2 linked regions of the Anolis sagrei genome follow. The protein of the gene in region 2 purifies or fractionates together with the protein of the main gene of each other region. This does not show direct contact. Links are inferred from orthologs where the notes say so. Each region holds a gene or a part of one and is shown on either strand. Other genes may lie near its edges.

Region 1 (7,432 bases), about 58 Mb from region 2:
GTGGATTATTTCCAAACTCTGACCCAGTCAGCAACAATAGCCATCAGCCACCATTGTGGGGGAGAGAGGAAGGTAGGCAAAGACTTCTGGAAAGTCCTGGCAAATTCTTATGTAGTGATTCTCTTATGTGATGTATGTGTCGTTTTTAATGTTTTTAATGTCTCTTGATGCTACCTGTGTGTCACTAGGGAAAAGTTTGAGATCCCAAAGGTGAGATATACATTACAGTCACTAACATAATAAAGGCAGTTTGAGAAAAAGGTAAGTATTTTAGTTCGTTCTAATAAATGTGTATTAGAGCACAGTGATACATTAATAAATGTTATCAATTTAATAACAAAACTCCCCTGTTATTTTCTTACTACTATGCTATTTTTGGAGCCCCCGGTGGCGCACTGGGTTAAACCACTGAGCTGCTGAACTTGCTGACCGAAAGGTCGGTGGTTCGAATCTGGGAAGCGGAGGAGCTCCCACTGTTAGCCCCAGCTTCTGCCAACCTTGCAGTTCAAAAACATGCAAATGTGAGTAGATCAATAGGTACCGCTCTGACAGGAAGGTAGTGGTGCTCCATGCAGCCACATGACCTTGCAGATGACCACAGCAAGATTTGTTGACTAAAAATCATATTAATAGTATAGATACATTTTGTACTATTTATAGTACAAGAGGCCATGATGGTACAGCGGGTTAAACTGCTAAGCTGCAGAACTTGCTGATTGGAAGGTCGGCAGTTCAAATCCATGGGACAGGGTGAGCTCCCGTTGTTAGCCCCAGCTTCTGCTAACCTAGCAGTTCGAAAACATGCAAATGTGAGTAGATCTATAGGTACCGTTCCAACAGGAAGGCAGGGGTGCTCCATGCAGCCACATGACCTTGGAGGTATCTATGGACACATCCTTTTTTTATTTTTTTCCTTAATGTCCTTGTCTTTGTTCTGTTTTCTCTTATTTGGCTCCTGAGATTAGGGTTTATTATTATTATTATTATTATTATTATTATTATTATTTTCTCCCAATGTCTACTTCCCAGCTCTTTCCCTTTTCCTAACTTTCCTATCCGAAAATTGTTCTCACTCCTTCGATGTTTTATTTTATTTTTTCAAGGTATATTACAATAAAAAATTAACTTAAAAATAGTATATAGATACATTTTGTACTATTTATAGTACAAGCGGCCATGGTGGTACAGCAGGTTAAACTGCTAAGCTGCAGAACTTGCTTACTGGAAGGTCGGCAGCTCAAATCCATGGGACAGGGTGAGCTCCCGTTGTTAACCCCAGCTTCTGCCAACCTAGCAGTTCGAAAACATGCACATGCAAATGCAAATGTGAGTAGATCAATAGGTACTGTTCCGACAGGAAGGTAGTGGTGCTCCATGCAGCCACATGACCTTGAAGGTGTCAATGGACATATTTTTTTTTCTTTTCCCCCTAATGTCCTTGTCTTTGTTCTGTTTTCTCTTATTTGGCTCCCTAGATTAGGGTATTATTATTATTATTATTATTATTATTATTATTATTATTATTATTTGAAACACAAAATGAGTCCACAGCAGACACTCTGCTGGCTGCTGAATTGGATCACATGTCGGACACTTCCCAAGTGTCTAGGACTGTGTGATGTATCGGCGAATAATGCATGCAGATCCCAGTAAGGTGGCCTTCTGCAGCTGGCAGATGGTAATTTATTATTATTATTATTATTATTATTATTATTATTATTATTTTCTCCCAGTGTCTATTTCCCGGCTCTTTCCCTTTTCCTAACTTTCCTATCTGAAAATTGTTCTCACTCTTTTGATGTTTTATTTTCTTTTTTCAAGGTATATTACAATAAAAAAATAACTTAAAAATAGTATATAGATACATTTTGTACTATTTATATTACAAGCGGCCATGGTGGTACAGTGGGTTAAACTGCTAAGCTGCAGAACTTGCTGACTGGAAGGTCAGCAGCTCAAATCCGTGGGACAGGATGAGCTCCCGTGTTAGCCCCTGCTTCTGCGAACCTAGCAGTTCGAGAACATGCAAATGTGAGTAGATCAATAGGTACCACTCTTGACGGGTAGTGGTGCTCCATGCAGCCACATGACCTTGAAGATGACCACAGAGGGATTTGTTGACTAAAAATAATATTAATAGTATATAGATACCTTTTGTACTATTTATAGTACAAGCAGCCATGGTGGTACAGCGTGTTAAACTGCTAAGCTGCAGAACTTGCTGACTGGAAGGTCAGCAGCTCAAATCCGTGGGACAGGGTGAGCTCCCATTGTTAGCCCCAGCTTCTGCCAACCTAGCAGTTCGAAAACATGCAAATCTGAGTAAATCAATAAATACTGCTCTTGACGGGTAGTGATGCTCCATGCAACCACATGACCTTGGAGGTGTCTATGGATAACGCCAGCTCTTTGGCTTAGAATTGGAGATGAGAACCAACCCCCGGAGTCGGACACAACTAGACTTAATGTCAGGGGAAAACATTTACCTTTACCTACTATACTATTTGGATTTACAAAGTGAACTATTCTACGATTATTTCCAATTCACATATGAAATCCCTCAATACACCCATTGCAAACATCTCACAAGCCCTCTTTTGGGAAGAAGCATATATGTGGGGACTAGGAAACCCAAATGAATTGCCGGCTTTGCAAGTACTCACTGTTGTGGATGGAAGCGACACTTTCCCTTCTCCCTACTGACCTCTTCCCGTCTCCCAGCAGCTCAGTTTCAGCAGTGCTATTGTTAACCATATTAAAATTTCAACATGTGCCTGTCGTGGTTTCTAGTTTTCCTTTAACCCCTTGAACATTGAAAAGGGATCATGCTCTAAATCCCACAGAGTCCTTGCAAAATTCTCCTAGGAATCTGCACTTTTCTTTACATCAGTTGTATTCCTCTTAATTTAGCTATTTGTGAGAGTGAAGCAATGTCAGAAGTAAAGACATAAACAAATCACATTAAAATGAATGACCTACCTATGCAGATTTTTGGGAATGAATAATCTATCTCCATCTGATTCCATGAATGAATATCTATGGCAGATTTTTTTCTTTTAATGAAAAACAAGTCAAAACCAGTTTCTCATTCATGGCAGTGTGTAACCTTCAATGCACTTGATACAACAGGGGGGAGGGGGGGAGTTAGCAGGGGAGGAAGAAATGCACAGAAAACTATACCATCTTTCAACCATGACAACTGGCACATTTCACAGCTCATTAAAATATGGTGACCGACTCTTGTGATAAATGGCTTTTTGAGAAGGGCAGACAAAGCAATGCAGCTCTGAAATGAGGAGAGGAAGGAGGAAGAAGCGTCACCCTTTTTCTCTCCGTCTCTAGCCAAATTAAAGCATGACGGAAAGCCAAACCTTTTTCGTGGGTGGCAAGACTGAAATGAGTGAGTGTCTTACAATCATGGGCATCTTGGTATGGAAGAAATACAGTGTGTTTGTGTATATATAGATATAAACACACACACACACACACATTCACCTATATATAAATCCATCTATCTCTCTAAATATATATACAAATACCAATTCACATAAATATGAAGTCAGATATAGATATATACACACACACACCAATTCATTAATCTATAAATACACACAAACACAGAGTCATTCACACATACACCAATTCACACATATAGTCATATACTGTTGTATATATACACACAGCTCAAGTCATATGTGTATATGTGTCTATGTGTGCATGTGTGTATATATATACACACACAGAGTTATATATGTGTGTGTGTGTCTATGTATATTTATGTATATGTGTGTATGTAAATAATTATATACACACACACACTATATATATATATATATATATATATAGTGTGTGTGTGTATATAATTATTTACATACACACATATACATATATACACACACCGTTATATGTGTGTGTGTATAGTGTGTGTGTATATATATAATTACATACACACTCACATATACATATATATATATATATACACACCCTGTTATATATGTGTGTCTGTGTATATACTATATATGTGTGTGTGTATAGTGTGGGTATGTGTGTGTATATATAATTACATACACACTCACACACACATACAAACACACACACACCCGTTATATATGTGTGTGTCTGTGTCTGCGTATATACTATATATGTGTGTGTGTGTGTGTGTATGTATATGTATAGTGTGTGTGTATGTATAGAGAGATATCTTGGTGTGTGTGTATATATATAATTAATTACACACACACACACACTGATATATATATATATATATATATATATATAATACACACACATGCACACCCAATCATATGTATGCATGTTTGAGCTATGTGTGTGTGTGCGTATGTATGTGTGTGTGTGTGTGTGTGTGTGTATATATATATATATATATATATATACACACACACATATACACACACACACACATATATATATGAGAGAGAGAGACTTGGAGGTGTGTATATATTATATATAGACAGACACACATAAACACACACACACACCAAGTCTCTCTCATATATATATATATGGATAGATATGGATATATATATATACACACACACACACACACAGCCCAAACATGTCTAGATATAATATATACACACACACACATATATAAAAATTGATACACATACACACCCCAAGTCATGTCATGCCATATATATATATGATACACACACCCCAAGTCATATGTATATACACACACCCATATATAAATGGAGATATGCTCATACATACATATATAAATGGAGATACACACACACACACTCCAAAGGCTCTCTCTGAACCCAGTGCCAAGAGAAGCCATGGCTTCAATGCCACTGTGATGGTGGCTCTCCTTTCCCTCCCTTCCTTTGCCTGTCTGCCCCCTTCATTGATGCCCAAGCATCAGTGGGACTTCTGAGAGGAGGGTCACCTTCTGCCAGGGAAGCAGACATGGGGCGGGGGACCCCCAAAAGCCCTCCTCCTCCTCCTCTCTTTCCCTGAGGCGAGACAGGCACACAACAAAGGGGTCCTCCTACCTCTCTCTGTCTCCTGGAAGGTGTCTCTGAGGCGCGGGAATGAGGGAACGGGGTCGGGCTCGCCTCCCTCGCGCCACGCAGCCTCCTCGCCGGCCCTCGTCATTGCCCGCCGCCTCCAATGGCGAAAGCAGAGGAGGGAGCAGCCTCGCTCTGGGTCGTCCTCGCTCTGGCTTTGTGTTGTGGTTGTTATTGTTGTTATTATTATGACTATGTTCGCCAACTCCTAAGCCTGGCAGCTCCTTGGCGGTGAGGAGAGAGGCGTGGCTTGCTGGCTGGCTGGCTTGGGAGAGGAGAGAGAAAGGGCGCCCTCATGCCATCCTCCTCCTCAGGACTTGTGACACTTTTACATGCTCCACACACCACACTCTTTCTGGTCGCAGAGTGTGGTGTGTGAAGCATTTAAAAGCACCACTGCAGCACACCCAAATACCTGGGAGCCACTCTGAAGCTAAGAAAGAACAGTGGATCAAGCTGATCACAGAGGGCGACATGGGCAGGAGCAGCCAGAAGGCGTGGAGGTTGCTAAGATGGTTGAGCAACGATCCCTCACAAACTAATACCCATGCCAACATAAAGGCAGATCAGATAGCACACCAACTCTTGAAGAATGGGAAACCCAACTTTACCACCAAAGTAGGAAAGAAACCAATAGCCAGGCAAGGAGAGATTGAGAACAACAACCTTCATGAACCCTTTACATCTACTGAATTGGACATGGCTCTCAATAAATGTAAAAATGGCAAAGCAGCTGGCCTGGATGATCTACGGATGGAACAAATCAAGAAATTTGGCCCAAAAGCAAGGCGCTGGCTGCTGGAGCTGATGAACAACTGCACTACATCCTGTCAGATCCCCAAAATCTGGAGGAAAGCAAGAGTCATCGCCATCTTGAAGCCAGGCAAAGACCATAATGACCCAAAAAGCTACAGACCAATCTCCCTCCTGTGCCACCTCTACAAAGTTCTGGAGAGACTTATTTTGCATAGAATTACGGAAAAAAATAGACCCCTGTCTGATCCCACAGCATGCTGGCTTCAGAAAAGGCAAAAGCTGCACATCGCAAGTGTTGAACCTGACTCAGCACATAGAAGATGGCTTTGAAAGGCAGCAGATTACAGGAGCTGTCTTCATAGACCTGTCAGCAGCCTATGATACTGTGAACCACCGCCTCCTCCTGAGAAAAATGTATAATATCACAAAGGACTACCACCTCACCCACCTCATAGGAAACCTGCTACAAAACAGGAGCTTTTTTGTTGAGTTCCAGGGCCAGAGAAGCAGATGGCGGAAACAGAAGAACGGCCTGCCTCAGGGGAGCATGCTTGCTCCATCCATGTTCAACATCTACACAAATGACCAGCCACTGCCAGAAAGGACAGAGAGTTTCATCTATGCTGATGATCGTGCCATTACTGCTCAAGCAGGGAGCTTTGAGATGGTAGAACAGAAGCTTTCCAAATCTCTAGGTGCTCTTACTGCCTATTACAGGGAAAACCTTCTGATCCCCAACCCATCTAAAACACAGACATGTGCCTTTCATCTCAAGAACAGAGAAGCATCCCGAGCTCTGAAGATCACCTGGGAAGGAATCCCACTGGAGCATTGCAGCGCACCCAAATACCTGGGAGTCACTCTGGACCGTGCTCTTACCTACAAGAAGCACTGCCTGAACATCAAGCAAAAAGTGGGTGCTAGAAACAATATCATACGAAAGCTGACTGGCATAACCTGGGGATCACAACCAGACACAGTGAAGACATCTGCCCTTGCGCTTTGCTACTCTGCTGCTGAGTATGCATGTCCAGTGTGGAACACATCTCACCACGCTAAAACAGTGGCTGTGGCTCTTAATGAGACATGCTGCATTATCACAGGGTGTCTGCGCCCTACACCACTGGAGAAATTACATCGTTTAGCCGGTATTGCACCATTTGACATCCGCCGGGAAGTAACAGCTAATAGTGAAAGGATCAAGGCAGTGACATCTCCAACCCATCCCTTGTTTGGGTATCAGCCAGCACGTCAACGACTTAAATCAAGAAATAGTTTTCTAAGATTTACAGAGACACTCGCTGGAACATCTCAGCAAGTGAGAGTCCAAAAGTGGCAGGCTCAAACCCAGAACCTCAATCAGTGGCTGATACCAAATGAGGGACTCCCTCCTGGGCACACAGAAAACTGGGCGGCTTGGAAGGCACTGAACAGATTGCGCTCTGGCACCATGAGATGCAGAGCAAACCTTAAGAAATGGGGCTACAAAGTGGAATCCACGACATGCGAGTGTGGAGAAGAGCAAACCACTGACCACCTGCTGCAATGCAACCTGAGCCCTGCTACATGCACAATGGAGAACCTCTCTGCGGCAACACCAGAGGCACTCCAAGTGGCCAGATACTTGTCAAAGGACATTTAAC
Region 2 (7,567 bases):
GTTAACTAGTTGTTCAATGCTATGGAATAACTTGACAAGGTCTTTAGAGTTCTCTACAAAATAGTTTCACCAAACTACACTTCCCATTATTCAATAACATTGAGCCATGGCACTTAAAGTGGTGTCAAATTTCATTAATTCTACAGATTAGATGCATCCTCAGAGGATCAAGCTTGAAATGTAGCTTCAAAATGAACATATATTATACCATGTATTCATCTTCTGTAACAATTAACCGGAAATAAACCTCTTTGTCAAGGATTCATTAACCTTTTACACATCCATGAGGTGTTTATCATCACTTAAAGAGAGGGGAAAGATTTAAGAGACAAAAAAATATCATCACCATGTAAAAATTGTTTTGGACCCCATGGATGATGACATGAGGGGCAATCAAATGATATTCACTAAATGTTGATATGCTATCTATACAGGCAGAGGATACCTTATTTAGAAATGTTAAATGCTCCAAAATCTATTATAACATGGGCATCTAAGTCATCTTTCTTAACATGGAATTTATTTATTTATTTATTTATATACCGCTTTTCTCAGCCCTCAGGCAACTCAAAGCAGTGGATACTTTCATGCCTGAAAGTATCCAAAATATTGTGCATAAAATTACCTTCATGCTGTGTGCAAGACGTATAGAAAATATACATAAATGTGGTATTTAGAGGTGGGTCCCATCTCCGATCCTCATTATGTGTAAATATTCCAAAATCAGGAGGGGAAATAAAAAATCTTAAATACTTTTAGTCCCAAGCATTTCAGATAAGGGCAATGCTTATCTATTCTTTTTCTCTCTCTTTTCTTTCACCAGAGCTGAAGTGGCACGGCTGCCCTGCCCAAAACACACCCGAAGACTGGAGGGGACTGCAGGTTAGAGGGAACCAGTCTTGGTTGGCCGATTATTATTATGTATACTGTATTTTTTGTTGGAAATGACAACCTTCTTCAAGCCTTCTCTAATAATGTTTATCTATGATTCTGTTGCTTACTGTTTCCTGAATGTATGTTCTGGTATGCAGCTTCCTTTATGTTTCAATGAAAAGTTGTAAAAGGGGCTGCAGACCATATGCTCTTTTTCTCTCTCCTTTTGACTATGTGAGGTATTGATAGCTATTTTGTTACAAGAGAGATGCTCTGGCGGGATGACACAAAGAATTATCTCAAACATATTTGAAACGGGACTGATAAGTTTTGTACCTGTGCATACTGAACACATGAAGGTTGTGAGCAAACCAAATGTTATTTTTATCAAAGTCTACTTCATTTTTCACTCTTGAGTGCATGATATAAAACAAGCTGTTTTATGGGAGAGTGTATATATTTTGGGCACTGAAACCCACTTCTCAAACTCTGCAGTTTTTGTGAGCTGGTAAAATCTCTGTTTTTCTAAAAGAGCAGATATAATAGGTTATTCAGTCTAACAACTGAATAATTATATTTGGTTGTATGCTATTCTCCAAAAGGCGCTTTCCAAAAGGTTATGAATGCCATTTTCCAAAAATGTTTCCACTGTGAGCCGCCCCAAGTTCCTTCAGGAGGAGGGGCCAGGATATAAATAAATTGGATTATGATTATTATTTGGTCACATGACAAAAATATACTAGTTTGACACCACTTTAAACTGATATGACTCAATGTTATCTGGGGAGAGCAAGTTGAGCTTCCCCTGTCAGCTCCAGCTCCCCATGCGGGGACATGAGAAAAGGATGGTAAATCATCACACATCTGGGCAGATGGCTAATTCTCTCACACCATAAGCGACTTGCAGTTTCTCAAGTTGCTCCCGACAGGAGAAAAAATGTCATCAAGCTCTGGCATTCGCAAGCCCTGTGAGAGCTGTGGTGTCCTGGCATTGGATAAATCCTAGAATATTACAGATTGAGCCCTGGAAATTGAAGCGGTCTCAAACTGTAATGATTCTGCAGTGTGACTACATCACTTAGGGGAAGAAAATAGGTGCCTCAACAAACTACGAATCCCAGGATGCATCTACACCAGGCAATTCCTGTTAGAAATTGGGGTGCTGAAGTCCAAAACACCTGGAAGGCCAAAATTTGCAGAAGCCAGATCTATATATTGAGGGCCCTTCCTGACAGGCCCTATATCCCAGGATCTCATACCAGGTTTTCTGCTTAAAACTGTATTATACGAGTCTCCACTGCCAGATAATATGGAAAAAACAGAAAACCTGGGATCAGATCCTGAGAGATAGGGCCTTTCTGGAAGGGGCCTGAGTCCCCTTTGGGAAGATAAAGCCGGGTATAAATAAATATAATAATAATAATGCACTGTGGATTGAGTGCAGTGTGACTGCACTTTCCCTACCAAAGCTCAATGCTATGGGGTTCTGGGATTTGGAGTGAGGCGCTCTTGAGCAGAGAAGGCTCGAGGCCTTGTGAAACTAGAACTCCCAGGATCTTCCTACATTGAGCCCTGGCAGTTCAAAGGCGACCTAGAGTGCCTCTGCCCCGCCAGGACACTCTCGCCTACTTCAGGCCAGAGGAAAGCAGGGGCTGGCTGGAGGCGCCAATGGAGGCAGCAGCAGAAAAGGAGAACAGAAGAGGAAGAGGAGGAGGAGGAAGCGGGCTGCTGGCTCGTCCCCCAGACACCAGATCGGCCCCAGCCTATTTTCAGCGCTCGGACCGTACAAGGAGCGGCGAGAGGCCTAGGCGGCAAGAGGGCGCCAGGAGGGCCCCCTTCCTCTTCCTCCTCTGGCCCCTATGCCTGCCCTCTCCAGGAAGCTCCCTCAGGCTCCTCGCCTTCTTGGGCTTCCCTCGGCCTCCCGCCTCTCTCTCCCTTCCTCTGGGCCCCCCTCACCTTCTCCTCGTCGGAGAGCTGGTCCTCCAGGTCCGCCATCTTCGTTTCTGACCCTCGAGGAGAAGAAGGAGAGGCGGCGGGAGGAGGAAGAGAAGGAGGAAGAGCCGCAACAGCAGCCAAGGCCCAGCCGCCCGCCTCCGCCCCGCGCTCGAGCAGCAGCAGCAGCAGCGGCAGCAGCGGCAGCAGGAAGGGCGGGGCTCCGGATGCCACCGAGGGAGGGAAAGGGGCGGGGGCGCGCGCCGCAGGAGCCGGCGGAGGAGCCAATAGAAAGCCGGAGCGCGAGCATGCGCACACATGCAGAGTGAAGCCTTTTCCAGGAGTAAGGGCGGATACGAGGCAGGTTCCAGTCTTTTTTTGGGAAAGGCTTCCTTCCTGCACTCACTAATATTCTGGGTTATATGGCTATGTGGAAGAATCTTCCACACAGCCATATAACCCAGAATATCAAGGCAGAAAATCCCACAATATCTGCTTTGAACTGGGTTTTCTGAGTCCACACTGCCATATATTCTGGGTTTATTTATTTATTTATTTACGACATTCATATTCCACTCTTTTCACTCTTAAGGAAGGACATGAGAGAAGCCTCCCACAAGGATGATAAAAACATCAAATCATCCGGGCGTCCTCGCAGACGGCCAATTCTCTCACAACAGAAGCGACTTGCAGTCACTCCTGACACGACAAAAAAAGAAAACCCTTAAGGGGACTCAGAGTGGCTTATTTGTACATACAATATATTCTATTATTAGCATTACTCAATATTAGTAATATATATTACTGTATTGTACGATAGCACTATACTGCAATATTATTAGTAATATTACTTCTATATAAATAAAAATGTAATTTTCGTTTGTGGGATTAACAGAACTCAAAAACCACTGGACGAATTGACACCAAATTTGGACACAAGACACCTAACATACCCAATGTATGTCCCTCACTTAAAAAAAATTGATTTTGTCATTTGGGAGTTGTAGTTGCTGGGATTTATAGTTTACCTACAATCAAAGAGCATTTTGAACCCCACAAACGATAGAATCGGGGCAAACTTCCCACACAGAACCCCCATGACCAACAGAAAATACTAAAGGCCATCCAATCCAACTCCCTTCATCAGGGCAAGAAAACGTAATCAAAGTCCTGCCATCCAGCCATAGAGATAGATAGATAGATAGAGAGTTGTAGCTGCTGAGATTTATAGTTCACCTACAATCAAATAGCATGATAGAATTGAACCAACCGGGGCATACAGGACTCCTGTGACCAACAGAAGACTCTAGAAGGGTTTGGTGAGCATTGACCTTGAGTTTGGTAGTTATCATTCACCTCCATCCAGAGACTACCATGGACTCAAACAATGATGGCTCTGGACCAAACTTGGTACGAATATTCCATATGCCCAAATATGAACACAGATGGAGTTTGGGGAAAATAGACCTTGACATTTGGGAGTTGTAGTTACTGGGATTCATAGTTCACCTACAATCAAAGAGCGTTCTGAACCCTACCAACGACAGAATCGGGGCAAACTTCCCACACAGAATCCCCATGACCAACAGAAAATACTCAAAGCCATCTAGTCCAACTCCCTTCACCAGGACAAGGAAATGTAATCAAAGCCCTCCTGACAAAGAGCCATCCAGCCATAGATAGAGATAGATAGGATTCACACACACACAGATATAGTATCATAGATTTGAAAGGGACCCCTAAAGAAGGACAATTGTATGTTGCATGTTCCAGAGTAGGCAAACCAGACACTCTCCACATCAACACTGACAAAGAAACAGCAAGAAATACTGTTTACCCACAAGCATAAAGGAATTATATATATTAGAAACCAACACTTTCTCATTACCTTATTTTCCAGATCAACAGACTGGGCCCAGCAATGTGTGGCAGGGGACAGCTAGTATATTATATTATTAGCATTGCACAATATTAGTATTATATATTACTATATTGTACGATACCACTACACTACAATATTATTAGTAATACATGTAATATATAATTACTTAATATTATATTGTATTACAATATTATGACCAATAGCATATGCGCATATAAAATATTATTAGCATAGCACAAGATTAGATCTTCTGGGGATGCTCTTCTCTTGCCCCACCCCTGTCTCAGACGCGGCTGGTGGGGACGAGAGGGGGGGGCATTCTCGGTGGTGGCCCCAAATCTCTGGAATTCCCTCCCCAGGGAGATTAGGCTGGCACCCTCCCTAGCCGCATACCACAAGGAATTGAAAACGTGGATGTTTCTTTGTGCATTTGATTGAGTCATGATCTGAACCCATCCTTGAATTCCTATATCACATTATTATATTATATCTATATATATATAAATGCTCTGTGCATAATGAGTTCCTTAAAAACAAAACAAAAACTACAGGGCCAAATGACCCCACATTTGGCAACAAAACTCCTCATGATCCAAGGAGTGATCATCACTGAAAAATCCCACGAAACACCTTTAAATTCAAAAAAGGAAGAAGACAACACACCTCCCCTACCCCCCTCACACTGAGGACACAGAATGAGGGTTCCGAAGCAGCAGCGGCTGCAATGTTTGCTGCTGCCTGCATGTCTCCTTCCCTTCCTCCCTTTCTTTCCTTCCTTTTTCTCCTTCCCTCACCAGCTTCATCCTCCTTTATTAAATCTACAGTGTAGATGCACCCAAAATCAAACCTTCCACACTGCCATGTAAAATCCAGATTATCTACTTAGGACTGGATTATATGGCAGTGTAGACACTCACACAGATGGATGTTGGTGTGATGTGTGTGTGTAATACTTTATATATTACTATTATATATATTGCTATATCATATATATTACATTATATATATTATTGTTATATACAGCACTATATAATATAATGTTACTACTATATATTACTATATTAAATAGACTCATAGAATAGACTTAGAAGGGACTCTGCCATGGTATTGGGGGAAAACAGACAGGAAGAAAGGAGAGAAGAAAGGAGGGAGGGGAAAAGGGAAGGAAGGAAGGAGAGAAGGAAGGAAGGGGAAAAAAGAGGTATTGAAAGAAGGAAGGAAGGAGAAAAGGAAAGAAAAAGTGAAAGAAGGATGGAAACAGGGAGGGAAGAAAGGAGACAAAGGAAGAAGTAGAGAAAGGAGGAGGGAAGAAAGGAAAGAGAGAAGGAAGGATGAAACCAAAGAGCGAAAGAAGGAATGAAAGAAAGAGGTTCATCTGACATGAACCCCATATCTCTTGCTCCAGGTGGCAGATATTTTTTATGTTCTCCACAAACGCCCCATCTGTATGTTTTCCACAAACGCCCCATCACTTTTTCTCCCATGTTCCAGCACTACTTCCAATTTTAATTTTACATTTGGCCTTCCCACAGTTTTAATCGTGTGGTTTTATTGTTAATGTTGCGTTATTTTATTGTCCATGTTTTATTTTAATTGCTGTTGTTATTATTGCATGTATTGTTGTATTTGGGCTCGGCCTCATATAAGCCGCACCGAGTCCCTTGGGGAGATGGTAGCGGGGTACAAATAAAGTGTTGTTGTTGTTGTTGTTGTTGTTGTTGTTGTTGTTGTTGTTATTTATTAGGAGCATTGCAGACCAGAGCAGGTGACTGCTGCTCAAGACTCAGAACCAGCTGAACTCCCTGTCACATTGCTAAGAAAATATCAGGACTTTGCAGAAGTCTTTCTTAACAAGGAGGTTGATAATTTCCCAACATACTGACCATATGACTGTATAATTGACCTGGTACCCTCATTCTGCAGTGATTTACCTAAGATCCACGCTCGACAAGCATATGCTAAAACCAGAAGGGCCAGGGCAGAGAAACAACTCAACAGGATGAAGACAAGCCACTGAAATTGACTGCGATTTGGCCAAAAAGGATACAAGTGTAAATAATTTGCTTCAAAATGTACAAGCATAACGGTATGGAGAAAGGCAAGATATCTTATACAGTTCTGACAGCCATTCAAACCTCCTGCTCCCTCCTCTGATTGGCCAAAAAAGAGGCTGACAGGATTTATGCCACGAATATTGGCTGGGGATTGGTCAGGAAAAGGGCTTTTGGGACTCCCCCAGGAAGAAAATACTAGGGATATGTTGATGAACTTTTAATTAGCTCAGCTGTCCAATTCTGTGCCAAACAATGATACAGGGCTCAGGAAGCAAAGGTACAACAATCAGGGGTCAATCCTGGGTAATCAAAAGTTAGGTTGTCAAATAAAAGTGTTAATGAATGCACATATGTTTAAGTCTTTGGGGGAATCACACAAGCATTTCTGAGCTAATCTGGCTGGCATGGGAGATTGTCTACCTTTACATATAAACAATTAATCTGATTCTTATCTGGCATGGGAAACAGCCAAGGGGATTTGTCCCACCTTTCTATTCTTAGGGGATTATTTTAGCAGGGTCATGGAGGATGGCTTTCCCTAGGCTACATTTTGTACATTTTTTAAACAGTTCTTATACAGTGTATATAGAAAATATATACAGTGTATAGTTAAAAGATAGAAGTTACACAAAATCATAAAGTTGATACAGTTTATTGAAGGGTTAGATACAATAAAGTTCTTGTGGGTTTTTTCGGGCTATATGGCCATGTTCTAGAGGCATTTCTCCTGACGTTTCGCCTGCATCTATGGCAGGCATCCTCAGAGGGTGAGGTCTGGAGCTGGGAAAAAGGGGGTTTATATATCTGTTGATGAACTGTTGATGAT

What was found. Proteins that work in one complex are often made in the same cells at the same time.
Region 1: the proteins of CAPZA2 (region 2) and CRACD purify together in Homo sapiens (affinity purification with mass spectrometry; 3 studies listed by BioGRID and IntAct, counting the BioPlex papers as one, with this or other methods). This does not show direct contact. The link is inferred for Anolis sagrei from reciprocal best matches to the Homo sapiens genes CAPZA2 and CRACD.

What each region holds. Positions count from the first base shown.
Region 1 is NC_090025.1:73,367,788-73,375,219, forward strand, and holds the start of CRACD (capping protein-inhibiting regulator of actin dynamics), read right to left. Parts: upstream 3,001-7,432; 5' UTR 2,980-3,000; intron 2,731-2,979; exon of another isoform or gene 2,664-2,730; intron 1-2,663. UniProt on the Homo sapiens protein: Involved in epithelial cell integrity by acting on the maintenance of the actin cytoskeleton. Positively regulates the actin polymerization, by inhibiting the interaction of actin-capping proteins with actin.
Region 2 is NC_090025.1:131,056,582-131,064,148, forward strand, and holds the start of CAPZA2 (F-actin-capping protein subunit alpha-2), read right to left. Parts: upstream 3,022-7,567; 5' UTR 2,869-3,021; coding exon 2,830-2,868; intron 1-2,829. UniProt on the Homo sapiens protein: F-actin-capping proteins bind in a Ca(2+)-independent manner to the fast growing ends of actin filaments (barbed end) thereby blocking the exchange of subunits at these ends.